3 linked regions of the Caenorhabditis elegans genome follow. The protein of the gene in region 1 purifies or fractionates together with the protein of each later gene. This does not show direct contact. Each region holds a gene or a part of one and is shown in the gene's direction. Other genes may lie near its edges.

What was found.
Region 2: the proteins of wht-3 (region 1) and rsl-24D1 fractionate together in Caenorhabditis elegans (co-fractionation; one large-scale study listed by BioGRID). This does not show direct contact.
Region 3: the proteins of wht-3 (region 1) and Y57A10A.27 fractionate together in Caenorhabditis elegans (co-fractionation; one large-scale study listed by BioGRID). This does not show direct contact.

What each region holds. Positions count from the first base shown.
Region 1 is NC_003281.10:4,144,389-4,155,347, reverse strand, and holds wht-3 (ABC transporter ATP-binding protein/permease wht-3), read left to right. Parts: upstream 1-3,749; 5' UTR 3,750-3,796; coding exon 3,797-3,883; intron 3,884-4,062; coding exon 4,063-4,109; intron 4,110-4,373; coding exon 4,374-4,478; intron 4,479-4,536; coding exon 4,537-4,723; intron 4,724-5,053; coding exon 5,054-5,437; intron 5,438-5,691; coding exon 5,692-5,942; intron 5,943-6,535; coding exon 6,536-6,808; intron 6,809-7,219; coding exon 7,220-7,403; intron 7,404-7,449; coding exon 7,450-7,568; intron 7,569-7,641; coding exon 7,642-7,708; intron 7,709-7,753; coding exon 7,754-7,894; 3' UTR 7,895-7,923; downstream 7,924-10,959. Other genes in the region: glod-4 (Glyoxalase 1), read right to left, coding at 762-998, 1,047-1,397, 1,444-1,614, 1,661-1,747; har-1 (Hemiasterlin resistant protein 1), read right to left, coding at 2,663-2,887, 3,000-3,136, 3,189-3,291; Potassium voltage-gated channel unc-103, read right to left, coding at 8,901-9,055, 10,381-10,484, 10,703-10,769. UniProt on the Caenorhabditis elegans protein: Required for efficient RNA interference (RNAi) of pop-1 indicating a role in the germline development.
Region 2 is NC_003279.8:9,664,662-9,672,376, forward strand, and holds rsl-24D1 (putative ribosome biogenesis protein RLP24), read left to right. Parts: upstream 1-4,753; 5' UTR 4,754-4,759; coding exon 4,760-4,840; intron 4,841-4,895; coding exon 4,896-5,122; intron 5,123-5,168; coding exon 5,169-5,349; 3' UTR 5,350-5,437; downstream 5,438-7,715. Other genes in the region: npp-14 (Nuclear pore complex protein 14), read right to left, coding at 1-22, 67-252; cel-1 (mRNA guanylyltransferase), read left to right, coding at 650-730, 779-961, 1,013-1,213, 1,412-1,637, 1,684-1,811, 1,859-1,986, 2,037-2,181, 2,226-2,291 and 5 more; C03D6.1 (Piwi domain-containing protein), read right to left, coding at 4,052-4,154, 4,203-4,513, 5,587-5,787, 5,836-5,947, 5,993-6,054.
Region 3 is NC_003280.10:12,267,284-12,279,553, reverse strand, and holds Y57A10A.27 (Armadillo repeat-containing protein 4), read left to right. Parts: upstream 1-4,509; 5' UTR 4,510-4,510; coding exon 4,511-4,779; intron 4,780-5,920; coding exon 5,921-6,412; intron 6,413-8,112; coding exon 8,113-8,398; intron 8,399-9,434; coding exon 9,435-9,554; 3' UTR 9,555-9,742; downstream 9,743-12,270. Other genes in the region: tric-1B.2 (Trimeric intracellular cation channel type 1B.2), read left to right, coding at 175-288, 561-1,115, 1,996-2,123, 2,981-3,125.

The sequences.
Region 1 (10,959 bases):
ATTGAGTGAATAAAATATATTTTGAGCGAAATTTAATGAGTTTAATCTTGATTTAAGTATATTTTGGAAACCTGCGTACTTCTGAAGATGCTTCTAAAAAAATCGGAAATTTTGTATGACGAAAGTTTCAGATTTTTTACGATAGACTGTAAGTATAAATATTAACAACACAAAGTTCTGAGAATTTGTATTGCGAACGCGCAAAATATCTCGTAGCGAAAACTACAGTAATTCTTTAAGTGACTACTGTAGCGCTTGTGTCGGTTGGTTTACGGGCTCGATTTTTATGTTTTTTAATCATTGATTTATGGATAGAATATTATAATTAAGCAAAAAAAAAGGAATATCGCTGTCACTAATCGAAAATAAATTAATTTCAAAAATCGACACAAGCGCAACTGTAGTCATTTGAAGAATTACTGTAATTTTCGCTACGAGATATTTTGCGCGTCTTATATGTTGCGCAATACGCATTCTCTGAATTTTGTATTCCCGTAATAAAACAGCTGTGATAAAAAACATGTAGAAGCCAAGAAGAGCATTCTTATTCAGAAAAAGCAAGGTTTAACATGCTTTGAAACACAAAGAAAATTTCAATTTCCAGATTGTTCAAAAATCCCTATTTTTATTGCTTTCTCTGGTGGTCAAGTGAATGAAAAGATCTTCCCTGAAACTTCTGAAAAATTGACTACAATAATTTCTAGGAATGTTCGAATTTATATAAGGAAAATACATTGGAAATAAAAATATAATGACAAAATTTAGATCCACTTCTCGCTGTCATCCTTTTTGATTTGCTCCTTGAGCTCAGACTCGGCTTTATCGTCAATTTTGCTGAGAGCTCTGAATCCTTCATCACCAACAAAACAGATTTCATGCTCATCTGGATCGGCAAGAATCACAACTTGAACATCGGCTTTTCCTGGAGTTTCGAGAGTTGTGAGCTCGTTTATAATAGTTCCATTGGCTGATTTGATCTTGTCTTGGAGAGATTCGAGCTGGAAAATTAAATATTTAGATTTTTAATAGAAAATATCAACAATTACCTTATCTTCAGGATAACTGAATGCAATTCTTCCGAATCCAGTTTTTCGATCAATTTTATCCTGAGACTTCACAATCTCCAGCTCACACTGTCCATCACCATAGCTCATTCGAATTCTGCTCGACTTTTCCTCAACAATCGGCATTCCGAGAGTTTCATTCCAATATTTCTTGGATTTCTCTAAGTCTCCAACATTCACTTGAACTCTCAACACTTTTGGCGATTGATCAGCCTTTCCGATCTTGAATTCGTGGCCATCTGGATCCTTCACAGCTAGTCTTCCACATCCAGATTTACGATGATTGATTTTTTCGACTTTTTCGAAGAGTTGATCAGAATCGATGACGATTGCCTGAAATAAAATTGTATTAATAATATCAAGACTCAAGCTTTCTTACTCTATAATCATTACCCAACTCATACTTATGAATTGGATAATTATATGTGATCTCTAGAACAAAATGCTCATCCTCTGAGCCATATCCAATCATTGTCTTGCTCCATCGTCCGTTATATGGTCCATTGCAAGTTGCTTCGCATCCTTTTTCGAATTCCTCGTGGCGAAGAACCTGAGAGTTAATTTACAGCTTAAATAAAAATTATGTGAATACTCACTTTCATATTCAGAACATTTGTGAAAAAGTCGATGGTCTTGGCACGATTCGCCACTTTGAAGACGTAGTGAAGAGCGCGAGCTGTCATTTCTGGAGAATAATAATACAATTATTTTTCGATTAACTTCAAGGGATGTTCACTCAAATGAATGGGTCTCGCCGCGCTCACTTAAGATTACTGTAGGAAATTCAAGTACAAATACAATAATGGGTCTCGAAACGACCAAAGCTTCGAAGCTACCGTACCCGTATATTTATATTTTTAAAAATTGTCTAAAAATATTAAAAGTATATGGGTTCTAAATTTTGGAATATTCAATAAAATAAATATGGAGGAGAATATTGTGAGTTACTGAAAAGATAGATTAAATTAACGGAAAATATACCATATGGCGAAAAAACTATAGTTTTTCAAAATATATCGATTTAAATTTTTTAAAAAATTAATATTTCTCTAAATTAATAAGAAATTATCGTATATTATTGAAAACTCTATTTTTTCTCGAAAGATTAAAAATTGAATCTCGGGGAGTTTAAAAATGCATAGCAACGAAACATCGATAAAAATCTTGCAGTAGAAAAGAGAAAAAGCGAGCGGAGGAATAATAAAATGAAGCGATTTCTGCAGTATTTATAGTGAGTGTTTGGAGGCCGACCCGCGCGCTCATTGATGTGTTTTTTTGCTTTTTAAAAATCGCGAATGAACCAGAAAATATAAAAACAACATGGCAAATACCTCAAAAATCAGTGCGAAAGACTGCGAGGAAAACAAGAAAACAACGAGTCAATTTATTTGCGAACAGAAAACTGGGGAAAATTGAAAAAGAACAAAACTACGGAACATTTGGAATTCAGGGAGCTAAATACGACAAAAAAAAGGAAAAAAGTCAAATTGAAAGCGATAACCATAAAGTAGAATTTGAGTTTTCAGAGAGAAATAATCAATTTCCACCAAATGCTAAACGTTTTCACTTAATTCAATATCTATACGGGGGAACTGTGATTAGGCATATCTGGCCTTGCATTGCTTGAAAATATCATTGAATCCGTTGCACAGAGAAACATCAGATTGGTTTTGTGCGCAGTCCACAAATTGTCTCCACTCGAATTCGCATGGCTGCGAGTAGCCAGAAGCTTGTGGAGCACCGGCTGGAGCAGCAGCAGCAGCTGGAGCTTGCTCGGCATGAGAGCTACCGCCTCCGGTGAACATTCCTCCGACGGCGTGACCCTGGAATTTTAGAATTCGATATTTTAATTAAGTGTTTCCCAAATTATGGTCTTGGAAATAGGTTAGCTTCGAAATCCGGGGAATATATATATATTTAAATAAAACTACTCACAACAGCGGATCCAATGGCGACTCCTCCGGCGGTTGCAGCCATTTGCTTCATCAATCCTGGTCCCTGAGATGGAGCACCCATTGGGGCTCCCATTGGAGTTGGAGCTGCTGGTGGATGATAAGCTGGAGCAGCGGCGGCTGAAATATTATTTTAAGAGTTTTTGAAAAAAAATAATGGCTTAAATTTTACCTGGTCTTGGTGGTGGAGCGGCGAAGGATGACTGGGCGGCTGGACGTGGAGCCGATCGAACTGGGGCCGATGGAGATGGGGAAGCAGTGCGCCGACGAACCATTTTCTGAAATTGATAGAATTTCAATGAAGATTTCAAATAATTAAAACTGTGAACGAAAAAAGCCAGAAGATAAAATATTCGAATAAATTGAAACATTCTAAATTAACTTTTTAGTTAAAAATGACAGAAATCAGGAACTCTGTAGCCTCCACTAGTCTCGAAGAGCATTTATATTGTCCGAGTAGTGACGAAATAGTTCAAAAATCACTTGTCTGTTCAATGTGATGAGAGATAAGATTGCGAAATACGACAGGGAAACAAAAAATTGAGCTAAATCAAGCGAAATCATATTAGAATCATTAAATATAAATACAAGCTTTTCAAAGTTTGTATTATGCATTTTACAACAAATAAAAATCGTAATAAAAGCGTTGTAAGACTATTTTTTCTATTTTCAAAATTTACGTATCCGTGATGATAAAATTTAGATTGGAAAATCAACAATCTACTCATTTCTATAATTTTTAATTAAAAATTGAATCAATTCAAATAGTTTATTTGTCAAATGCCTACAAAAATGCCATTCGATTTACTAGCGGAAAGAAAAAGATGGAATGCCGGGTACGAATCAATCGATACAAGCAGCCAAAAGGTAAAATTATGTTGTGTAAAGCTGAAAACGTGGAGTTTAGCTCAAGAGGAGATTCTTAGTATTTTTTCGGTCTGAAATGCATTTGTAAATTGAAATCAACAAATATATCTTTGAAGAAATGTGTTTAAATCATATAAAATACACATAATTGCTGCAACGAAGTAAAATACATTTTTCAGCTGACGGAAGTGGTGACGCCCATCACAGTCACGTGGGAAAACATCGAGTAAGTTGGAAAATTGACGAATAGTAACATCACATAACACGCCCAGAGCAATTTACTAATTTTTAAGTCATAATTTTTGTAAAATATAAACAAATCTTCAACACAAAGATCAAAAAACAAAGAAAATTCGAGAAAGAAATGATAAAAATGATGATGATTTGCGCGTAGGCTGTGATGCATTCCGCAGCGGTACGCAAACACCGCTTGCACACCGTAGTTCTGAGAAATACGCGGGTGTTTGAATTTAATATTTTCATATTTCAGGGTAAAAACTCGGAAAAAGCTATTTTCCAAAAAGCAGAAGCAACTGTTAAATAGAGTCTCGGGAATAGCAAAGCCAGGAGAAATGGTGGCATTAATGGGTGCAAGGTAAAACTTTAGTTATGTTATAGTTATGAAGTTATAGTTATGAAGCAATTTTGTTCAGCGGAGCAGGAAAAACCACTCTAATGAATGTGCTAATGTGCAGGAATATGAAGGGATTGGAGAAGAATGGAACCGTGAAAGTGAATGGAACAAAGATCGGGAAGGAGATTTCATTGATTTCTGGTTTTGCACAACAACAGGAGATTTTCATTCCAACATTGACTGTTGATGAATATTTAATGATCCAGGTCAGCATTTTTTTTCGCACGAAAATACAGTATTTGGTCTTGGCACGAATAACATTTTTTGAATTAATGTCACCTAAAATAACGTGCGCCTTTAAAGAATACCGTAGTTTCAAGTAAAAATACTATACGGAATGAAAAGTACAGTAACCTTTTAGAGGCGCGCATTCTTTTCTGGAGTTTTGATTTGAGAATACTTTGACCGTTTCAAGACCTAAAACTGTAATAATCAGAAGACAGTGTTTGATCTCCAGAACTCCCGATTTCTGAAGATCAAGCGTCAGCGCCTACTCGATACATCAAACTTTACGCGCAAACTCCCAAAAATTTCAGGCAAGACTTCGGATGAAAGCCAATAAACATACACGTAGAGAACGAGTGGATGAGATTATTGAAATGCTGAGACTCCAAAATTGTCGAGATTTGAAAATTGGAACACCTGGACTCGTAAAAGGAATTTCCGGTGGTGAAGCCCGTCGTTTGACATTTGCCTGTGAACTATTATCCAATCCATCACTACTTTTTGCTGATGAGCCAACGTCTGGACTTGATTCATTTATGGCTGCAAGTGTTGTACAAATTTTGAAGAATCTCGCGAATTCCGGTCGAACACTGATCCATCAACCTACTGCCGAGCTCTTTTTTCAATTTGACAAAATTATTTTCTTGTCGATGGGAAAAACCGCTTTTATGGGAACACCTCATGAGTCCGTGAAGGTAATTTTGAAATTTAAGAAATTATTTAAAGGCGCACGCCAAAAGGTCTTGGCACGACCGAAACTGAGGATTCAGAAAAATATTAGTGAATGTGGAATCTGCGAAAAAGTACAGTACTCTTCAAAGGCGCATACCGAAATGTTTCAGTCGTGTGGAGACCCTCATCTGCCTATAATTTTGAATCGAAAATCGAATTGTTCGGATACCCAACTATAATTTGAATTTACAAATTTTCGAATAAACCTTTTTTCCAGTTTTTCGCTGACTGTGGCCATCCAATTCCGAAATTATTCAATCCACCTGAATGGATACAATCCAAATTGTCAGTGATACCAAACAACGAGACAAAGAGTCGAGAAACAATTGGAAAAATTATTGAATTTTATGAAAAATCGATAATTCATCAGAAATCTATAGTGGAAATACGTGTGATTGCGACTACAGAGCTACCTCCATATATAGAGAATCCAGGATTTTTTGCCGAAACTGGAGCATTGTTAAAGAGGTTGGTTATCTGGAAAAATAATAGTTAAAGCACGCTTCTTTATGGTAAACTACGAAATGCACCATGTTTGAACCACAAACTGTTGCTGAACTTTGACATCCCATAGCTCAGTTGTTTTTGATTTTTCGAAATTTTGCCAATTGACAAAATATTTATCATGTATTTTTCTATAGTTTTGTAGTTCAACATTTTCTGATATCTATAAAATGACCCGAGATACTATAAGTTGCCAAAATTTTGTTTGGAAATCCTACCACGATTGCACTTTATAAAAAACCAGCTGTGGTCCGCACCTTCGGCGCGGCCCCCGACTTCTAGAGCTGAAAATTAATTTTTATGAAACTACCGTAACCCTACAGTATTCCTACCGTACCACTATTGTACCACTACAGTACCCCGACTATATCCCTACACTAACCCCAACTCACTATCCCTCCAGAAGTCAAAACTTCACAGACTACAAAGACTACATAGACTACAAACTATGGACACACAGAATAAGCGCTTTATATATAGTAAATGATGATGCACGCTTTTCTTTGCAAACCAATGGTGCAATAAAAATTTGATTTGCTTCTAACATTATTTTTCAGAGCTTGCCTCGATGTGATCCGTTCTCCAGCTCAAATGCGAATGAAACTAATTCAAAAAGTGGTGATGGGCTTATTCATCGGATCTCTTTATTGGCAACAACCACTTGATCCTCGAGGAGTACGGAACACAAATAGTGCTCTTTATTTTCTAATTGCGGAGCTCACTTTCTCCACGATGTTTGGAATTATGACATTTATGGAACATGAACTTCCATTAATTGCGAGAGAATATCATGATGGATTGTTTTATGTAATTAGTTATTATATTTCGAGGTTAGTTTAGAAAAGTGGAAAAGTACGGAAACATGACACGATATGGGAAGTTTTTCTATACGTTTATTTGAAAACTAAATATTTTGAGTGCACTGATAGGTAGTAAAACATCCGAGCATATGAAAAACAATGCTTCCATGGTTAGCACTGCATGCCTATGTGCCTATTTTCTGCCTACCGCCCATTTCTGCAATTTGACGCAAATTCCCGTGTTTGGATCAATTTTTCAGTTAAAAAAAATAGAGCAAGATTCACGTTGGTAGTAGGTAGAGCTTATAGTAGGCATTTTGTGACTGTACGAAACTAAAGACGAAGTATTAAAAAAATCAATATTAGGCTCTGCCCAAATAATGGTTTTTTGCGTTGTCAAGAAGAGCATCTCACAGTTGATAAATCTGATTCAACTTTCAGATTTCTGTCATATCTCCCATTATTTACAATCGACGGAGCTCTAATGATTGTAATATCATATTGGATGATTGGATTGAATAGTACTTGGCAACAAGTGGCTAAAAGTATTCTAATTTCTGTGCTCGTCGAGCAGTCTGCCACTTCGTGTGGCCTCTTCTTGGCTTGTCTATTCGAGACTACTTCGGTAAATTTTTAACATCAGATTTTTCAAAACACATGTTTTTTTTCAGCTGGCAATTGCTTTTGCCGTTCCAGCATCAGGCCTTTTTGCACTGTTGAGTGGATTATATGGAAATACGAATAACTTTCCAGTTTACATTCGGTGGATGCAATGGACTAGTTGGTGTAGGTTAGAAATTTTGCCCGTTTCTAGGCGTATGCGCTTTTGAACGGCTTCGTACTCACGACAAATGAATTTTCAGATATGGATTCGAAGGACTCGTCGTGAATCAGTGGTCTCAAGTGGACAATCCGAAATGGGATCCTTTCGTAAGTTCTATTTTTGTGACACATGCCACTTTAATCCTTTTTCAGTATCGAGAATTGATTCTGAAACAGTTCTCATTCAACAAAGACAACTATCAATTGGATGTTATTGGACTCTGCTCAATTGTGATCTTTTTCTATTTGGCTGGATATATTGCACTTTTCATTCGAATTCGATTATCTCGATGATTTTATTATTATGAACTTGTTTGCTGAACATTTTTGTAGCTCTTAATATATATTTGTTTGAAACCCCCCCCCCCCTGAGGTGTCGGCTGCAGATAAAGTCACTTTTTGCTCTTTTATCCTGAATCCGATACCAAAATCAGTACTGTATTTGAAATTGAAAATTGAACACAAAAAATCAAATTTTAAAATTTTTATCGAAATTTTTTTGTTTAGTGTGGGTGCATAGAAAGAATGTCAAAAAGGGGATGTGATGTGATTTTGGGATACGAAGAGAGAAAATTTCAAAAGAAAAACATACAAAGAAAAGGCATCTAGACGATCAGATTTTAAAAGAAAAATTGCAAAAAAAAACATTATATTAGGGGAAAACTGATGGAGAACATTGAAAAAAGTGTTGCGACATATGAACCCGCGAGAAAGACATGATGAAAACACGAATTTTGTTTTGTTTTTGAAGTTGAAATTGCAAAAAAAAAAAAGATTTGAAATACTTTTTGGCATTTGAAAGAAAACGTTTCCTTTAGTTTTGTGGGAGATGGAAAGAGATCACTAGTGGCTATCCGGGGGTATTAGATATGAGAATATTAGGAGGGGGTATAAAAGTGTGGTTATTGATTTTTGGTGGAAAATGAAAAAAAAAAACAAATCACACAGCTTTGCAAACCGGGAGTTGAGAGAAAATGAACGTTTTGAGATGGAAAATAGTTGAGAGTGGAACATGGTGCATCGAAGCGGCCTTGTGTCGATTTACGCAGCTCGTGTAAAACTAAATTCTAACCTCTCCTCGATGCGTACGCCGGTGTTCGCACAATTCGACTATTTTCCATTCAAAACGTTTTTTGATCCTACGAATAAAACTCTGGACAATTTGTAATCATATAAAAATGTTTTTGTGAAGAGGCACTCGGAAAAAGATCCCTGAGAAAAAGGAAAGAAGGACTGAATTGGGTTGGATGTGAGAGAGAAAGAAAGATGGAGAGAGAGACAGAGAAAGAGAGAAACCGGGTTATAGAATAGTATCAGTTTCTTGTGTGGGTGTTGGTGGCTCGTGTGATGAGAGCCTCGAGACTCTCATCTCATCGACAACTCCACCACCACCTCCATTCGGAAGACGTATCGCTGACGATATGTAGTTGTTCGGACGGTAACGGGCATTGGGCTCTGGAATATTTGAAAATAATTGATAGAGAAAAGAGCTCTCGATCTGGGAATCAGAAGCTTCTGATAAAATTTTCTGTGATCTACACGCAGCCACGTTGTTTATCACTTGAAAGTTCAGAAAGAAAATAATTAAAAATCCAAAAAATAAAGAAAAAAACGAAAAACCCATTCATTCCTGAAATGAATATTCGAAAATATTCATCCAATCGTGCAAGTATCGATTGTTATCGCATTACATCAAACACACACATTCCACTTGTTTCACCAAAAAAAAATATTTAAAAAAGAAGAAAGTTTACTAGAAAGAGGAGTTGTGAGACGAAGAAGGGAAAATCAGAAGATTACGATGATAATTAGATACGTAGAGAGGTTCACTTAACAGTGGTACAACGATTTGTTTATAAAGTGATAGGTGAAGCAGCCAACATCTCATAGGAGTAGATCCCGTGAAATGTCGGCTGCAGAATTGAGAGACTGGTGAGATGAGGGTTAACATGAATTTCAGATACATCGCGTTCGATGCACCATGTTTTACGCGCAAATTTTGGGAAACATCATAAAGAAAATCTATTTGAAAAACAGAAAGTTCAGTACTTCGCGCGCAAACTTGGCGCGCCTACAAAGTCATAAGTCGCCTGATGCCTACCTCGGAATCTAAAATGTCGTAGGTGACTTTTCGCCTACCTGTGTGCCTTTAATGCCTGATGCCTGTTGTGTGTCTAAAAGAAATGAGACATCTCATGCCTACCTATTCACCTAGAAGAACGTTTATCGCGTTTGCCTACCTGAGTGCCTATGAAAGCATAGGTATTTTATAAAAAACAGGTAGGTATGCTTATGCCTACCTAAACTTACCTAAAAGTCTTAGAGAATTCTAATATGCGCTAAATGTTTCCTATTTAGTCAGAGAGATAATATATCAGGATAAAATTGGCGTACAACGCAATGAATAAGTAATATTATATTTTTCAAAAATTATTATAGTAACACTGCAACACACGTTGACGATCACTAGAATTATTGACGACAAAATGAATCAAATGAATCGAAAAAAAAGGATCAGGAAAAATTTAAAAAAAATCAAGGGACGAGCTTTACCTAGATAGAAAGGGAACTATATTAATTGTATCTAGAATCTAGCATAGCATATTGAAATTATCTAATTAAATAAAAAAAAAAGAGAAAGTACAGGGAGGGTAGATTAGTTACTACAGTAACCGGTGAATACATGTGTGTTTTGTGTGTGGTTCAATGGATGCGAATAACAAACCTTTCATCGATTAGAAGGAATGAATGGGCGGGGAGATACTCTCTTCACCGCCTACCTTCATTTGATGATCCATTGTTTCGGATTATCGATTGCTCTTTTACAAGTTTGATCAATGTCTCCATATCACTATTAAACTTGTTCTGCATTCGTTCCATTTGGCTGCAAAAAATGAATGTTAGTAAATTATTCAACAGTTAGTAATTTTTCAAAAAAATGTTGCCTGAAATAACAATTTTAAATTATTCAACAATCAGACAGGCAGAAAACGTGAATTTGAATATTTTTCAACATTCTTTCGCCCAAAATTTAAATGTTCAATTTAATGTGTTTAAAAAAATTTAGAAACCTAGTGTAATCAAAAGTGCCAAAAAATGTACCTTTCAATTGATTCAAGCCTCCTTCCAAACATGTTTGCCCTTCGTTCTTCATAATCATCTGATCGGTCTGAAATTTTGCATTTTTAATTTTAAAATTAACAAATTCTAAATACAATATGTATTCCCTAACTATTCTTATTTTTCAAAATTAAAATACCACACTGCAATTCCACGTGTGTAGTTTCCCAGTTAGACTTGCACCTTTCAACGCCTATCTCAGTTACTTTTGAAATTATCAAAAAATTGTCAACTGAAAA
Region 2 (7,715 bases), on another chromosome or scaffold:
TTTTTGTATGGAAGCATGATAACTGAAAAATAATTTTGAAAACGATTGAACAAGTCATAATTTTACCTGATTAGAATTAACTGTTACAAAGGTAACTCCCAATTGAGATGACGTAGCAACTCGGTTTCGAATGTTTATCTCATTTTGACTGTACCCATCTGACTTTGATGAAAAAAGCCGAAACTTCCGGCAAGTGTGGAAATGAAAGTCGGTGACTTGAGAAACGTCTTCAGCAACATCTTCGTTCGACATCTCTGAAAACACGAAAAATAGATGTAAAAAAAATTGAGGAGAAAATGTTCAAAAGGATGTCTGGCATAAGAAAAAACGGGCATTCAAAAACCGATCAAGAGCTTTTTGAACAAATTCAGAGGATGTATGTTCTTTAATATAGATAAGGAGTTAAAAAATATAGTATTTTCTTTCAATTAATAAAAAACAAACGTTTATTTTGAAACACTTCGAAAATTCTTTAAATTCGCCAAAATACAACTGGAAACGCGTAAGCTTGCACTCAAAGTGCGCCAGCTGTCAAAAAGTGCGCCAGCACGCGTCCGTTTCGTGAGGTTAGCGAAATTGCGAAACATTTTATCGGATTCCTTGTTTTCTCCATCGATTTCTGTGCGTTATTGCCTTAAATTGACTGAAAATGGCTACACGAGGACCAACACCTGACAAAGCGAGAATGGGACTGCCTGATAGATGGCTGCACTGTCCAAAAACCGGAACGGTCTGTGCAAAATCTGAGATTTCGGTTGTTCATTGTTCTCATTTTCAGCTTATCAATAATTTGTTTTTCCCATTCAAAACACCACTGTGTAAAATGTATGACAATCAAATTGCCGAAAGACGGTATCAATTCCACCCGGCAGAAGTTTTTTCACATCCTCATCTTCACGGAAAAAAGATTGGGTTGTGGATCGACCTCACAAACACTGATCGTTATTATTTCCGCGAAGAAGTATGAAATTCAATTAAAAAAATAAATTTGTAACAAAACGATTATGTTCAGGTTACCGAACACGAATGTATCTATCATAAAATGAAAATGGCTGGACGTGGAGTGTCGCCGACTCAGGAGGACACGGACAACTTCATTAAACTCGTTCAAGAATTTCATAAGAAATATCCAGATCGTGTTGTCGGAGTGCATTGCACTCACGGATTCAATCGAACAGGATTTTTAATCGCTGCATACCTATTTCAAGTAGAGGTATTTACTGTTTAGTTCATCATGACAATCCAACTGTTTAATTTTCGAGAAGCTAAAAATTTATGTACTCATTTATTGGAATCAACGCATGATATTTTGTTGAGAAGTGTCTAATTAAATACGTTTCTTTTTGAATCAGAAAAAGCTCAGAGAATAAAAAGTTGATTATCTTTTTTAAACTGACAGGATATTTTTAAGGAATATGGTCTCGATGCTGCAATCGGAGAGTTTGCTGAAAATCGACAGAAGGGAATTTACAAGCAAGACTACATCGATGATTTATTTGCAAGATATGATCCCACAGAAGATGACAAAATTCTGGCTCCCGAGAAGCCAGACTGGGAACGAGAAATGTCTATTGGCATGAGTACACAAATTGACAACGGACGACCATCGACAAGCCAACAAATTCCCGCAACGAACGGTTTGTCTTCAATTTCAAGCCTTAACGTTTAAATAATTTTATTCAGGAAATAATAATCAAAATGGAAATCAATTGAGCGGAGGAGGAGATAATTCGAAATTGTTCATGGACGGATTAATTCGAGGAGTTAAAGTGTGTGAAGATGAAGGGAAGAAGAGCATGCTTCAAGCCAAGGTATATCATTTTCTCACAATTCTTTAGCTGTATAGTTTTTTCTTTAGATTAAAAATCTCTGCAAATACAACAAACAAGGATTTCCGGGTCTCCAACCCGTATCTTTGAGCCGTGGAAACATAAACTTACTCGAACAGGAATCATATATGGTATCATGGAAAGCTGATGGCATGAGGTTAGTGAATATTCTTTAAAATTTCATTTAAAGATTTTTTAAAATTTTAGGTACATCATTTATATCAACGATGGAGATGTCTATGCGTTTGATCGTGATAACGAGGTTTTTGAGATTGAAAATCTTGATTTCGTGACAAAAAATGGTGCACCATTGATGGAAACCCTTGTGGATACTGAAGTCATCATTGATAAGGTATGAAAACTCATAATTTATGAATGAATTATTTGTTTTCTCAGGTTGAAATCAATGGAGCCATGTGTGATCAGCCTCGAATGTTAATCTATGATATTATGCGATTCAATGTAAGTTGATTTCAATCGGAAAGAAAATGTATTATTCGTTTCCAGAGCGTTAATGTGATGAAAGAGCCATTTTATAAACGATTTGAAATCATCAAAACTGAAATTATCGACATGAGAACTGCTGCATTCAAAACTGGACGCCTGAAGCACGAGAACCAGATTATGTCTGTCAGAAGAAAAGATTTTTATGATCTTGAAGCAACTGCTAAATTATTTGGACCGAAATTTGTGCAGCATGTCGGACACGAAATTGATGGTCTCATTTTCCAGCCGAAGAAAACTGTGAGAATTAAAATTAAATTTTGAACGTGTTTGAGAATGATATTTTACAGAAGTATGAAACTGGAAGATGTGATAAAGTTCTGAAGTGGAAACCACCATCTCACAACTCTGTTGATTTTCTACTGAAAGTTGAAAAGTAAGTTTCTAAAGAGGAAATTGAAGGGTATCAAGAGAATAATCGAATTGCAGGAAATGTAAAGAAGGAATGCTTCCCGAATGGATTGGATATTTATTTGTCCAGAATCTTTCCGATCCATTTGGCACAATGAAAGCAACGGCAACTCTCAAAAAGTATCATAATAAAATTATCGAATGTACACTGCTGGTTGATAATCAAGGACGGGTAAACATTATTTTTTGATGCAAATCTATGTTGAAATTAATATTAGTTTTTAATTTGGTTACTTTTTTTCAGCCAAAAGAGTGGAAATTTATGCGAGAAAGAACAGATAAATCGTTGCCGAATGGATTACGAACTGCGGAAAATGTCGTTGAAACTATGGTGAATCCTGTCACTGAAACCTATTTAATTGAGTGAGTTAATTTATAAAAAAATAAATAAACGGAGTATCATAATTAAAATTTTTTGATCTTCGGCACGTTTTCAAAATTTTCAGTCAAAGTTTTTGGAAAAACTGGATCTTTTTGGGAATTTCTGGTTTTTTTAATGCAGGGCAGTTTCTAAAGGTTAAATCAAGGCTGAATCCGGAAAAAAACTTTTTTACGGAAGTTACGTTAATTTGTTGTTTTTAAAAAAGATACTTCAATCATATATTCACTGTGGAAAAAATTGTATAATTTTACAATTAATTAGTTTTTTTAGTTAGCAAAAGATTAAACAAACATCGAAAATATTTAGAAACAAACATTTTCGAAAATTTCATCAAATTTTGTTAATATTGATGAAACGAAACATAAAGAAGCATACACCTAATTGTATTATATTCGAACTTTTTGCATAAAAAAATTAATTATTTTGAAATAGTTTTACTAAGATATTTAGTAAGTATAACAAATGTTTTAAACAATATTCGCATTGATCGTACTAAATCTATAAGACTTAACATATATTTTGCTTCCTCAGGTATGTAAATCACGCTCTCCGAGTTTTGAAAAGAGCTGCAGCAGCTCATCGCCATCATCAAATACACCAACAACAACTCCATGAGGGAGAACCGGAAGCAAGAAGACAAAAACTCTGATAATCATTCTCCTACATTTGACATCTTTTTTTTTTTTTAATTTTTCACATGTTGCCTTTCTTAAACTCTCCTAGATGCTCTTTCATTTTACCAACAACACTACGGTTTTCAAAAATAACTCAGAAATTATCATTGGCTGTCTTTGTACTTTTAAAAACAAATTCTTTTTTCGTGTTCTAAACAATTGTTTTTTCATTAAAAATTTTTTATTCAATTTTTCATAATTTCATGATTAAGAGAATTCAAAGATTGTATTGTAGGAAATGGAATTAGATATCAAACTTCTGGGTCAATGTGAAGTTGGAGCGAGATTGTATCAAAATCATATTGAGAAGAGTTAGCAATTCGAGGTAGAGCATTGTTGTGTGCTTCTCTGAAACTGAAAATCAAAAATTAAAAGATTTATCAAGAAATCGAATATTCTTACGCTGCGTAACTGGGAAAAAATTTAGTCCACAGTCCAGCTTTGTTTTCAGCATTCCAAAGAGGTTCAAGAAGAGAAAATCGATGATTACGAACTCTAATTGTTATAAACATGTTAACAATTAAGTTTTGAAATTCTTCGTTTGATTGGAAAATTCCGTCATCTTGAAACAAATAAACGAGTGGTTCCGTATTTTCTGGTCGCCATGGAGCCAATCCAAATGCAAATCGAGGATTCCATTCTGGAAGATTTGATGCAGTCTCTATATATGTTGATATTTCTTCTTTGAAAGCTGTGAACTCTTGATGTTCTACCTGAAAACTTACGATTTCTTCTTTGGTACATGATTTCCAATTTGAATCACCGCGCTTTTATCACCGACGCAAAGTGCGCAAGCAACACTCGCTGGCGCCTTTCTCTCCCTTTGCGCATAAGGCGATCGCTTTTTTATTTTTTCGCAATTCTTGATTCTAAACTAATTTTGTTACTTTTCAATGTTCTCACTGTCCAATTTCACCGTATTTTGCGTTAATAAATTATTTTATCAATTTTAGGTAACAATGCGCATTGAAAAATGCTACTTTTGCTCGTCTCCCATCTACCCGGGACACGGAATCCAGTTTGTCAGAAACGATAGCACAGTAAGAACTATTTAAAATAAAATTAGTTTACGAACTGTTCAATCAATCTGTTTAGGTGTTCAAATTCTGCCGATCCAGATGTAACAAATTGTTCAAGAAGAAGAAGAACCCAAGAAAGCTTCGTTTCACCAAGGCTGCGCGTCGTGCTCGCGGAAAGGAGCTTATCAACGACGCCACACAGCTTCTCGAACAGCGCAGAGATGAGCCTGTCAAGTATGAAAGAGCCATGTTCCAAAAGACCATTGAAGCTGCCAAAACGATTTCCGCATTGAAAACAAAAAGGTAAATAAAAATAAATTTATATCAAAAAGCAACTATTATTTTTCAGATATGGTAACCTGATCAGAAAACGTCTGCAACCAGGAAAGATTGTACAGAAGAAGGGACTCCTTGCGAAGGTCGACAAGAAAATGCATCTCATCCGTGCTCCAGTTGCAAACAGAGATGGTGTCAAGACAAGGGCGGCAGCAAAAGAAAAGAAAACCGCAGAATCGATGGAGACCAATTGAGTACCCAATTTTCTTTCTTTTTTTAAACTTTTTGTTATTTGTTACTTGTTGTTCTACTCCCGCTTTTGTGAATACACTTGGATTTACGATTTTTTGGAATTTCTTGTTATATTCACTACTGGACAGGAAAAAGCGTTTCAACGAAATACTAGGTGGTGGTAAGATTATTGGTCAAGGCCGCAGTTGTGTTCAAATTGAAAGATGCAACGTTCAAAGTTATTTTAATAGGAAACGTACCGTTGATTGTAGATCATCGCGAACTTGATCTCGGAGCACAATAATAAAATCAGGGAGCACTTCACGATGGGATCTGAAGTCTTCAATTATCCACCGAGTGACTCGTCGAATCAGCGCAGGATCAACATGCGGAATGGTGGCCTTTTGGAAATGAAAGTACTCGGTAAAATGATCAGGACACGAGGTTCCGTTGAATGTGAACTGGAATTACATCGAATAGCAAAGAGTTGAGCACAAAAATGTAATTACCACAACTGTACTGGGATTATTGTAGACCCCAGGTGTACTTGGATCCACAGTTCCATGATTTATAGCATATCCTATAAAAAGCGTATTTGTCTCTGGCCCCCGCAAGCTTCTCCTGAAATTAAATTAAGAAATAGGTATTTATGAGCTAAAATCTCACATATACTGGTGAGCATTATTTCTTATATCTGGAGCCACATGTCGCCTTCTTCTTAATGCCATCATTATTCGGACTGAAAATTTTGGAATTTCAGAAATCACCCAACAAAGAAAGTTTATAAGACAAGGTACACGGAGAAACAGAAGGAGAGATAAAAATTGAATAGCCTAGAGGTTTCAATGACATAGACATATATACACATACACACTGATCAGAACATTCTTCTTCTTTTTATTCGTTGTAGAGGAAGTTTTGACGTCGACGGATGGATGAGGACGACCGCGTGGGGGCTGTTTATATCACTATTTGTGTATGGAAGAAGCTGATATGATATGGTAGTAATATTTTTGCATCTTGAAGATTGTTCTTCCGATATTTTGGCGGAAAGTCCTATTATCATAGTTCTGATGGTTTTTTGAAACATCCGCCTGAAGGCGCATGGATTTATTCAGATAGGTCTCGTCGCGAGAAAAATGTTTACTGTAGGTTTCCTTTTATTCGACTTCCCTATTGCATTTTTTTGTTCTCAAGCACATTGAAATTCTTAACAAAAATCGAGAAAAATCGTTAAAACAGCTAGAAATTTGTTTTGAAAAAAATCTTAATAGAAAGGAAAATAATATCAAAATCGGTGTGTCTTTAAGAAACCTTGTTTCAGAAAATTACAATGTAATTTTTTAAATCAAAATCTGCTTTCAGTTTCCCATTTCATCTTTTTCTCTCTCTGGACATGATTATTCACAGAATGTTTTTATTTGCAAACTCTCGCCGCGCTTTTTTAGGTTTACTGTAGATGAATTAAGTTTTATTTTTTATTGGTTTATTGTAATTTTTGGTCACGAGTTGAATTCGGAAAACACCCAACATTGTAAGTGAAGTTTCCAGTAATTATCGTTTTTGAAAAACTATAAAACACAGAAAAAGAAGCCGGAAGTTTCTATAGGTATACAGTAAACATAAAGACGCATACACAGATCGTTTTCGTAAAATTCCCGACGAGACCTCATTCGAATAAATCCGCCTTCCTTAAAACTTATAGAAGTTCGTGTATTTAATTCCACGTTTCTTCAATGATACTGTACCGCGAAAAGGGTGAGATTTTTCATGTAGACACTCTAAAGTGATAAGAAAAATCAAAGAAGGGAGTCTAAATGCGTGGACAATCATTAAAGATTCTATCTTTTCGGGGGCTGCTGATCGAGAAAAGAAGTCTACGAGAAAAAACTGTTTGGCAGTCATTTAACAAATTCTCTCATTAATTTAAATATGTATATCAATTCAGTGATAAAACAACGTATTGCGACAAACTATAAATGTAATAGGGGGAAAAGTCACGTGGTGTCGTTTTGATATGATATGATGTGATATGGATAGCGAAATAGAAAATGAAAATGATGAAGGGACAGGGGTGAAAAGTCAGAGGAATTCCGTGGAAGGAAAGGGGAAGAACAATTCTTTATCAGTTTTTGGGAATCATTGTGTCAGGTCGAATTGGGGGACGGTTTCATTGTTTTCTTTTTGATAGTCTGCTCTTTGACCTGAGAGAGAAACCGCATGTCAACCAAATTTTGCAAAAGTCTTAGAAAATGAGTACGGTAGATTGTTTGAATGGTTTTTCATACTCGGTAGGCTCTTCAATATCGTGAGCAATGAACGTTGAGTTGAAAAAATTATGTATGATCCCTAAATGTCACCTATTTTTGGACATGAAGTATCGGCCAAG
Region 3 (12,270 bases), on another chromosome or scaffold:
ATAAAAATGTTGCAACGACGCTCCGAAATCCCGCATACGCGTGTTGTTTAGCGTAATTAAAAAACCCAATTTTTTTCGATTTTAATTTTCAATTTCCCTTCAAAAATATTGATTTTCGCCCAATTTTGCTGTTTTTCATTACTTTTTTCGAATAAATATCCAATTTTTTCAGCTATGGGATGGGTTCCCGACGAGTGGAGCATCGATCACGACACACTAATAGATGCCGGAGGCTACGTACAAAAGCTGAAGCTCTATCCGTACTTTGATGCGGCGCATTATGTATTGGTAAGGTTTATATGTTGATAAAAAATGTGTGATTTTGACGGGAAAATTGCATAAAAGCTGGGAAATTCAAATTTTTTGCAAAAAACTGCCCGAAAAAACGAGGAAATGCGTGAATTCGTGTTTATAAAAACACCAGAAAAATCAGATTTTCTGGAGAGAAATTTGTCTATTTTCAAGAGAAAAGCCAGAAAACTTCCAATTTTCTTAGTAAAAAAATCGAAAAACGCTATTTTTCAGTAGATTTTTACCGAAAAACATGACAAATCTTGCAGACCTGCCTCTCCGTCCGCCACGACTTGGGACCAGACGCCATCTCATTCTCCCGTAAGCACCCATTCTCATGCTGGCTCTCCTGTATGCTCATGTCGTTCGCCGGCAGCTTCCTCTCCTGTTTTCTGCTCGGCGAGCCCATCATCTCACCGCTCAAACAGCACGCCGACATACTCCTCGGCTCCATCGTCTGGTACCTGGTGTTCTATTCACCGTTCGACGTGGTTTTCCGGCTCGCCACGTGGTTTCCCGTGAAGCTCGGGCTCTCAGTGCTGAAAGAGGTTCAACGGACGCATAAGATTGCTGCGGGGGTGAAGCACGCCGTCAGGATCTACCCAGAGTCTTATTTGGTGCAAATTCTTGTTGGAGTCGCGAAAGGAGCCGGCTCAGGCGTTGTAAAGATCGTTGAGCAACTGGCACGTGGCACATGGCACCCGACGAATCATGAAATTCTTCGGCCATCGTTTACCACAAAAGCGTGTGTTATAGCGTCTATTGTGTTCACTTTGGAACGGCATAGTATGTATGTTACGGCGCCACACGATTTGGTGTACTTGGTGAGTGTGGATTTTTTGGCTGAAATTGCTTGAAAACTGCATTTTTCGGTGAAAAACTACTGAAAATACGAGTAAATTAGCCCCGGAAAACTGCATTTTCAGCGGAAATCAACCGAAAATTGACCGAAAATCTTCAGTTTTAGATCAAAAAGGGCTGAAATTGCATGAAAATCCTAGAAAATTGGTCAGAAAAGTGCATTTTTCGGTGAAAAATAGCCGAAATATCCCTGAAAATCCGATAAAATTTGTCAGAAACCTTAGTTTTCAATGGAAAAAGGCTGAAAATAGTCTGAAAATCCAAGAAAATTGGTCAGAAAAGTGCATTTTTAGGTTAAAAATGACTGAAAATTCCAAAAAATTGGCCGGAAAACTGCAGTTTTAGATGAAAAAGGCCTGAAATTGCCCGAAAATCTTTGAAAAACTGTCCAAATTGGCAGGAAAACTAAATTTTTATGGTAAAAATGGTTGAAAATTGGCTAAAAATTTGAATAAATTGGCCGGAAAACTGCATTTTTCGGTTAGAACAGGCTGAAATTGCCCGAAAATCCAAGAAAATTGGCCAGAAAACTACAGTTTTAGTTGAAAAACGTGGATTTTCAGCCTACAAAAGCTCTAAAATTCGAAAAAATTGGCCAGAAAACTACAGTGTTAGGTGAAAAAAGGCTGAAAATCAAAGAAAATTGGCCGGAAAACTGCATTTTTGGGCGAAAAAGAAGCTTAACAAATGAATTTTATGTGAGAATTTCGATTTTCAGCCCAAAAACTCTACGAAATTGACAATTTTTTCTAGTTTAAGCCATAAAAAGTAGATAATTTACCTTTTTTACGAACAAAAAATCGATAAAACTTGAAATTTTAACCAATTTTTTCTCAATTTCAGTGCGTCGTCGGATTCTTCATCTACTTCAAGCTGGCTTCTCTGTGTCTCTCCGTACATGATGTTCTGATGCCTATTGAGAATGTTCTTTGTGCAGTTTTTATGGGCGGAATTATCGATGCTTTTGCAAAGTAATACAATAAAATGGAGGAAAAATCGAATTTTATAGAAAAAAAAAACGAAAAAAATCGTACAATTTCCGCCTAAAATTGAAGTTTTTCAAGCAAAAAATGCTAGAAAGCCACGAAAAATTGAATTTTCCATATAAAAATTTGAAAAAATTCAAAAATTTTACAATTTCAGCTCGAAAAATTCCATTTTTCATGAAAAATGCATGAAAAACGCAAAAATTTTTAGGAAAAAAAACTTGCAAAAATGTGATTTTTCGTTGCATTTTTCATATGAAAATTTGATGAAAAATCTGAAAATAATACAATTTTAGCTCGAAAAGGCGCTTTTTTTGAATAAAATCATTGAAAAATCTAGCAAAAATGCAAAATTTGGACCTAAAAATCGAAATTTTTAAAACGAAATATCTCAAAAATGCGATTTTTCGTATTAAAAAAATGTACAATTTTAACTTAAAGTTGTAGTTTTTGAGGAAAAATGTCAGGAAATCTCATTTGTTTTGCTCAAAAGCCACGAAAAATCGCATTTTTATATGAAAATTCAATAAAAAATCGAAAATTTGCGTTTTCCGAGCAAAAAAAGCCTGAAAATATTACAATTTTTGCTCGAAAAATACGAAAAAAAAAATCGTAGTTTTTGGTGCAAAAATTCAACTCAAAAACCATAAAAAATTGCATTTTTCATATGAAAATTCGGAAGAAATTTCGAAAATATTACATTTTTAGCTCGAAAAATTGCATTTTTCATGTGAAAAATGCTCTAAAATATTAATTTTTGGCCTAAAAATCTGAATTTTAGCTCAATTTTTCCACTTTTCCCCCCAAAAAATCCATTTTTAACCAAAAATTTTCCATTCCAGAGCCGTCGACGCCACAAAAAAAGCCATACACAGTAATCGTGTACTATCCGAGGAGGAAATTCTGTCAAAAGAGCGGGAAAAAGTGCTGAAAAAGAAGAAGCTGCTCGCCCAAATGTCCAATGGCACGGATAAAAAGAATAATTGATCTTTCTTTAAAAAATAATTTCTGTGAATTTTCATATTAATCCCCTCGTTTAAAAAGAGCCAAAGGCTCATTTTTTCCCTATTAATTTTTAATTTTTTTGCAGTTTTATCACCCCACTTGCCATCCAAAACTCGCCGCTTTATCCATGTTTCTAGTCACTAAAAATTTATAGAAATTAGCAGAAATTTCTGAAAAAATCGCAGAAATTTGCTGTAAAATTTTGGAAAAAATTCGGAAAATTCTGAGAATTGGAGCATTTTTTTCCCGAAATTTTTATGAAAAATTGGGAAATTTCAGCTAATTTTTTTCAAAAACTAGTCAAAAAATTTTACAGCATTTTTCTTTTTTTTACCCCGTCTAGATTCCCATTTACTCTTTAAACAAATATTTTTATTTTCTAACAATTTTTCCAAATTTTCTCCCCATTTCTCTCGGCCGGGTACTAACATTTTACTTGAAGTATTACGTTTTTTTTGTTTAAATAATTTTATTTTTTATTTTTTAGAGCGATTTTTTATTGTAATTTTTTTTGACATTCAGTTTTTGAAACTGTTTTATATTTTAATTTTAATTTGCGAAATTTTCAGATTTTTTTCCGAAAATTTCGCTGAAAAATTTAAAAAAAATTATTCAAAAAATTGGAATTTTCCCGAATTTTTAGAAAAAAAATTTGAAATGTTTTCATTTTTTTTTAATTTTTTAAAAATTCAAAAAAAAATCAGATTTTTAGAAGTGATTTTTTAAAAAATCTCAAAAAAATTTATTTTTCTGATATTCCTCCAATTTATTCCAAAAAATTTAATCCAAAATTATCAAAAAAAATATTTTAAAATTCGAAATTTTTGATTTTACCAAAAAAAAAAATGTTGCACTTTTTTTTTGAAAAAATTGCAATTTTTTGGAATTTTCAAGAAAATTCCAATGAAAAATTCCTTTTTTAAAAATTTTTTAAGTAAAAAATCACAAAAAATTCAAATTTACTCCGATTTTCTCGAGAAAATAAAAAAAATTCGAATTTTTCTTCAAAAAAATCCGAAAATTGGAATTATCCCGAATTTTTGGCTGAAAAGGTTGACAATTTTTTGAAAAAATTGCAGAAAAATTGGAATTTTCAAGACAATTCCATTAAAAAATTCCCTTTTCTATAGAAAATCACAAAAAAATTCAAATTTACTCAAATCCCTTCTTATTAAATTTAAAAAATTTCCGAAAATTGGAATTTATTGAGAACATTGCAACAAAACTTTGCAATATTTTTTCGAATTTTTCAAAAAGAAAATCCGAATTTTTAGCTGAAAATTTAAACATTTTTGAAAAAAAAAACCCCCCCAATTTTTATAATTTTTCACTAGAAAATCTGAAAAAAACCCAAAAAAATTTCCAGAATGCACCTGTCGCTTGATCTCAACGATTTCCTAAAAGTCGACCTCACCCGGCTCGCCGAGGACGACGAAACACACCAAAAGAGCACAAAAAAGCACACAGAACTGCTCATCGAGCTCATCGATCGGAAATCGACAAAAGCTTCAGCTCTCGCGAGAAAAGTGATCCGTTGGCCAATTGGACAGACTCTTCCAACTCAAATTGCTTATAATAATGGAGATGAGCAACTTTTGATTGTTGGACCAACTTCTGAAGCTCTTCTTCCAATGCCGTACGGTTTTAGTGGCTAGAATTTGGAATTCGGACAAAAATTTGGGATTTTAGCAAGAAAATTTCAATTTTTTCATAGAAAACTGTAGAAAAATCAATTTTTAAAATTAAAAAAAAAAAGTAAAAGTCCGAAAAAAAATTCTCTCGGAAAATTCTACAATTTCTAATTATCCGGGAAAAACCCTTCTAGAAGTCGAAAAATTTAAAAAAAATAGAGAAATTTTCAACAAAAAAAAGGTTTTCAGCAAATTTTGAATCTGAAAAAAAAATGAGGTGTCATGAAAAGTTTGAAAATTCCAAAAAAAAATCCGAAAAAACGGACAAAAAACCATTTTTTTTACAAAAAATAGAGTGAAAAATGCGAATTTTTCGATAAAAAATTCTAAAATTAAAAGTTAATTTTCCAGAAAAAATCACAAAAAATGTATTTAAAATTACTAAAAACCTTCTAAAACCTCCAATTTTGTTTTGCATTAAAAAAAAGAGATTTGATTTTCCTGAAAAAATTATAAAAATTTCAATTTTTATTGCAATTTCCAAAAAACATTTTTAAAGCCAATTTTGAGTCAAAAAAAAAAATTTAAAAAATCAAAAAAATGGAGTGAAAAATGCTAATTTTTCGATAAAAAACCCAAAAAATTTCCAATTTTTTCGGAAAAAAAGCTTTTATCGAAAAACCCGAAATTAAATTTTTAAAAAATTCGATTTTCAGTGAATTTTTAATCCGAAAAATGTTCCAAAAAATACTAAAATCTCATTTTATTACAGCAAATCAAAAAAAAAATTGTTTTTACACAAAATAGGTATAATTTTTCTAGGAAAATCGAGAAAACTGTAAATTTTTTAGCCAATTTTGAGGCAAAAAAAAGAAGTAAATGAAGTAAAAATGCAAATTTTTCGATTTTTATTAAAAAAGTTACTTTTTTAGAAAAAAAAAAACAAAAAAGCTCGATTTTCGACCATTTTTGAATCTAAAAATCACAAAAAATTGTATGAATTTCTTTCAAAAACTGTCTAAACTCGATTTTAAGCCAATTTTTTGAATAAAAAAAAATAAAAATTTAAATTTTCTTCAGAAAATGTAGTGAAAAATGCTAATTTTTCGACATAAAAATCACATAAGACCTCAAAATTTCTTTCAGAAAATCAAAAATCGACGCTCTAACAGCGACAGCCATCGCGAAATCGGGTCCCACCACGAAAACGAAAACGTTCAGCTCATTTGCCGTCAATCCAATCGATACATTTGACACGAAATCTCTATTAAAATCAATTCAAAATTGTATTGAAAATCCGGAAAAAGAGAAAAGATGGAAGCAGCTGAGCTCGAAACTTGACGAAGAATGCTCCAATGGAGAAGCTGCTGGAGCTCTTTCGGCTGTTGAGCAGTCTCAATTGCTCACCGCAATCCGCCGCTACACGGATGACGTGGATTCGGAGCCCGAGACGCTTCATGTGGTGCTCAAAGCGATTGCCACGTCGAGAGTGCTCTCTTTTCGAAATGAGGACGGTTTTTTGAGAATGTGCATTGAGAAGCTGAAGAGCAATACGGAAATTGTGGAGCATGTGCTCGCCGATGGAGCACGTGTTGTGTCGGAATTTATTTTGGCTGAATTGTTGAAGCTTGCTGCTGGGTATGGAGATGACTATGAGCAAAAAATTTAAAAAAAAAAGAAGCAATTTTTCCTATGAAAATACGTACAATTTTCACCTAAATTCGTAGTTTTTCGAGCAAAAATTGCGAAAATCTCACTTTTTTTTGCTCAAAAGCCACGAAAAATAGCATTTTCCTTAGAAAAATTTGAAAATATTCGAAAATGTACGTTTTCCGAGCAAAAAAGTCTGAAAATATTATAGTTTCAGCTCGAACAATCGCATTTTTCGAATGAAAAAGCGCAAAAATCGTCGTTTTTTCGTGCAAAAAATGCGAAAATATCACCTTTTTTTTTTGCTCAAAAGCCACGAAAAATAGCATTTTGCATAGAAAAATTTGAAAAAAATACCAATTTCAGCTCGGTAGCTTCGAAAATTTTCGTTTTCCGAGCAAAAAAGTCTGAAAATATTACAATTTCAGCTCGTAAAGTCGCATTTTTTTTAAATAAAATTTATGAAAATTCTTAGTTTTTCGAGAGAAAAATCCACGAAAATTGCATTTTTCGTATGAAAATTTACAGAAAAAATTTAAAAATTGGTGTTTTTTCGATCTGAAAACACCAACAAAAAAAAACTGAAAACTTTCTGGAAAAAAGAAAAATATCGCATCAAAAATTGCCTTTTTTTTTGAGAAAATCCAGAAAAATAAGTTTTTTTTTCGATTTTCTCTGAAAAAGAGAAAAATTTTTTGGCTGTTTTTCCATATAAAATCCAAAAAAACAAAAATTTTACTATTTTTTATAAAAATATAAAATCGGATATTTTCCAGATTTTTTAATTGTGTTTTTTCAAAGAAAGTTTTAAAAAAGGGCATTTTTGAAAGGTTATTCCTGCTTTTTTTCAATTTTCTCTGAAATCAACAACAAAAAACGGAAAAATGTTTAATTTTCTCAGAAAACAAATTCAAATAAATGGTGTTTTTTCGATCTGAAAAACAGCAAAAAAAAAGTGAAAATTTTCTGGAAAAACAGAAAATAACCTACCGAAAATTTTGCGTTTTTTCCATATAAAATCTTTAAAAAAAAGGAAATTTTTTAAAATTATTTTTCGTGTTTTTTTTTCAATTTTCTCTGAAAACCACAAAAAAAAAAACGAAAAAATGTTTAATTTTTTTCTGAAAACAAATTCAAATAAATGGTGTTTTTTCGATCTAAAAAACGCTTTAAAAACTGAATATTTTCTGGAAAAAAGAAAAAATCGTACCAAACATTTTTTCTTTTTCATATTAAATCCGAAAAAAAAAACATATTTTTCTTGAATTGAACTAAATTGGATTTCGGAAAACGAGAAATTTATGAATTTTTAATTTTTAATTTTCTGTTTTTTTTTTCGATTTTCTCTGAAAAACGCCGAAAAAATGAACATTTTCCGGAAAAAAAGAATAAATCTAACAAAAGGCTTAACGTTTTTAAGAAAAAATTAAAAAAAAAAAAAATTTTCCGGAAAATTTTACGATTTTTTGAAAAAAAATATTGATATTTTCAGATTTTTTGTTAAAAAAAAATCAAAAATTCCGAAATTCTCGAAAATTGGCTGTAATTTAATCTAAATTTGACAGAAAATTATCGAAAAATTATCGTTAAAAATACGAAAAAAAAATTCAAAATTAGTCGAATTTTGTCAATTTTTCTCGAAAAAATTAAAAATAAAAAAAACTAAAAAACTAAGCTTTTTTTTCCAGAAAACCGTCCGAATCCGAGCGCCGAGCCCAAGTGAGCCAAGTTCTTGCCCGTAACTTCTCTAAAATTCCAATGACCGAAGCTTGCGGAGCCGTGCTCTCCGTCACCGAATCCATCGAAATTATGACAATTCTCACTGAAATCTACCGTGAATCACCGGATATTTCCATCAGTTCAAAAGCTCTCACACTGATTACTGTACTTATGGATGCACATGGTTCACGTATTGTATATGAGGATAAACTTCATCACAAATTCGCTGCGATCAGCAATTTTATTATTGAAATGGTACGGAAAGTGCTGGAAAAAGTGATTTTCCGCTGAAAAATTGGCCAATTTTAGGCTTAAAACGATGAAAAATGTGAAATTTTGAAGGAAAAGCCATAAAAATGTGGAAAAAATAAATTGAAAACGACTTTTTTTTTCTGAATTTTCCGTTTAAAAAACTGACTACAAATTCAAATTTCTCAGAAAAATTTGGCGGGACTTCAAATTTTAGTTTTATTGAAAAAAAAATTAGAAAATTTATTTTCAAAAAAAAAATCAAAAAATCTCCGATTATTAAAGAAAAAAAAAGAAAATTGTAGAAAAATCAATTTTTTCAGCAGAAAATTTATCTAAAATTCGAAAAAAAAGTGGAAAAATTGCAATTTTCTTTGAAATCCGAGAATAAAATTGTTCGATAAAAATTCGAATTTTGATGATTTTTTTTTTGGAAATTTTCCCGAAATTTCTACAAAAAAAATTGAGCAATTTCTTTCAAAATTTTCTACTAAATTGTTCAGAATTCAGTGATTTTCGGGGTTTTGGCGCGAAATTTGAATTTTATTAAAAAAAATTTTTTTTTAATTCTCCGAAAAAAATTCTTATTTTCGCCAATTTTCAAGAAAAAAATTTTTTTTCTTAAATTCAAAAAAATTGAATTTTTCAGGAAATATAATCTTTTTTTAACACGAAAAAATTGCGAATTTCAGAAAAACATTTTTTTCAAATTTCCCAAAAAAAACACTGAATTAATATTTTTCAACAATATAATTTTTTTCACAATATTTCTGAAAAATTACTAATTTTTTTGTAAATTTTTGAATTCCCGCCGGCAGAATTTACTGATTTTTTCAAAAAAATTTCAGTTAAAATCGATAAATTAGCTGATTTCAGATTAATTTTTTTGCCGAAAATTGTCTGAAAATTTTACGAAAAAAAAAAATTTATATTGCAAAATTGAAAAAAAAAATCATAAAAAATTTAGCGTTTTTCAAATTTTTTAAAAACTAATTTTCATATCATTTTCTATAATTTAAATCTATTTTTTCTATTTTTCCAGCAATCCCTAGTCGGAACCTTCGCTCGACTTGAAGCTGCAATCGACGAGTGCTCGGATACCCAGGCAGCGAATAATGTTGTGATTCGTATGCATCCAGTGGCTCATCCCATTAATTGGTAGAAGAAAATTCGATTTTTCTGTTTTTTTTTCAAAAAAATTGGCTAATTTTGTGATTTTTAGCAATTTTCTGAAAAAATCGTTTTTTTTTTCTCATTTTTAAATTGTTTTCCTTGTTGATTTGTTGTTATTCATTTTGTTCTGGAAATTTTGAATTTTACCTCATTTTTTAAATAAAAAAATCTGCGAAATTCTGAACTTCTTTTGTTGAATATCCGGATTGCTTCCAATTTTTTATTTTTATTTTTCTCCATTTTTTTTTTGATTTTTTTTTTGTAATTTTCGGTTTTTTCCAGGAACTTGGAAAACGCCATGCGAGGGATTCAAGGATTCACGAAAAGGTAATAATTTTTTTACGAAAAAAATGCTTTTTTGAGTGCTCAAAATTGGTTAGATGAAATTTATTAAATAAAAATATGGGAAATTTTTATTTAAAAAATTTAAAAAAATTTAATTTCCAAAAATTTCAGCGATTTTTGAAAAACAAATTGTTTTTAGCTCTAAAGCTCGATTTTTACCCTGAAAATTATTATTTTTTTGATTGAAAATTTCCGTAATTTCAAAAAAAAAATTTAGAGTTCAAAAATGGTTGAATTTCAATTTTATCATCAAATTTTTATAACAAAACTTGCTTTTTTGAGTAAAAAAAAACTAGATTTTCACTGAAAAATTCCCAAAAATCCAGTTAAAAAGTTGCCAAAATCCGCCCACACCTGTTCAGCAACATTTTTTCTTTAGTTTTCTTCAATTTTTTCCTCCTCGTTCTCATTTCCCGGGGGTTCGGCACCGCCGGAAAAATTAGTGTTATTCTCTTTCTCATCTCCTCTTCCTACTCACTCACTTAGAGCTTAACAACATCTGTCGTAGGCGCTTCCCGCCTCCGGCGGGAGGCTTGCAACCGATAGCCCCGCCGGGCGGCTCCGAGAGCTCCGAGATCAGTGTAAAGGCAGATCTCTCTCTCTCTCTCTCTCTCTCTCTCTCTCTCTCTCTCTCTCTCTCTCTCTCTCTCTCTCTCTCTCTCTCTCTTTCTCTCTTTCTCTCTATTCGACTCGGCTCATTGGCAGAGCATTGATATCATTGGCTCTTTACGAAACACACACACAATAAATACAGATATCGGTTTTTTTGTTTACTTTTTCGTTTTTTTTTTTTTTTAATTTTTAATTTTGCGGAAAATCAACATACGGTTAGAATAACGTTTCAGCTAGTCGAAACATTTTAAACAAAAACAAAGCTTACACCCGTTTTTTATACATATCTATAAATATTTATTATGTACACGTGGAGTCAGAATGTCTTATTTCGATTTGATCTTCAAAAAAAAATGCGGGAGTTGAGACGCAGACATCTCATCTGTTTTTGCATGGTTAAGAGCGTGTTGACGTCACAATTTTTCTGGAAAAATATTCCCGCATTTTTGTAGATCAAACTGTAATACGACGACAGCCTGACACAATGTGTATGTATGATTTTGAATGCCGAAATCATACACGTAAAATAGTCCTCTACTTATACAGTCGTTATTACGGTATACCCATATATTTCCACATTACACTGTAATGTTGAGCAATAGTAACTATCTAAAAATTTGTCATAGCTTAAATATTCTGAAAGTACTGTATAATTTGTATCCCTACTAAGTTCGAATATTTAAGCTATGGCAAATTTTAATATAGGTACTATTGCTCAACATTACAGTGTAATGTGGAAATAAATAGGTATGGTATACATTTAAAAAATAAATATAACCCCTGAAAACACGTGAAAATGAAACCGTCTGAACATTTTGGTGTAAAGTTATTCACAAAATAAATTTATTAATTAAGAAGAAAACCCCGATTTTACCGAAAATTGCCAAAAATCAGAGGGGGTGCTATAGAAGTTGGACGGCCATTTTTCAGATATTTTGACCTAATTTCCGTGATTTTTGAGATACCATAATAAAAATTGGGGAGCATAGGTTTTTCAACATTTGCTATCGAACTGCACTAACACTTTTTCAAAAAACATTTTGAGAAGCTCCAAACCGCCAAATTGGAGGGGGGTGCTATAGAAGTTGGACGCACTGTATATATATATATATATATGTATATGCGTACAGGTTATTTATGATTTGTGTTAATCTAGCATAATAAGCAATTTAATGAATACTTATTAAGCGTTATTAACAAGGCAACTAATAAGAAATTCAACCATCTAGCTAGCCTAACGAACTAAAATCCACAATGAATACTTTGCTAGTTAGTAATTATTTTGAATAAAATATTTTGTCATTAGATGTTTTTCGAGCTGCCTACTTAGGGTTTTATACAGAAATTTAGAAAATACTTAAGCTATGGCAAATTTTAGTATAGGTACTATTGCTCAACATTACACGAGCTTCTGAAGTTGGGTTCGAGACAATTTTCCTGTCGCTCCATTAATTTCCGAATTATTAAATAAAATATGAACTTATTTTAGCACAGTAATGGCAAAAAATATTCTTAGGTCTAAGTCAAGCATATTCTCTGGAATACATTACTCAGACAACCCTCTTTATTTCTTCCATACGAAGTAGAGAGAGAGACAGAAAAAAAAATGAAATTTCGTCACTCTTGCACATCTCTTATGTATATTCAAAAGAGAGTGTGTGTGCGCGGCAAGATATCCGACGATAATCTTCTTCTGCAATGGCTACTTTTTCTCCGTTTTTCCAATAGAGCAGAGATTCTCCCAGCTT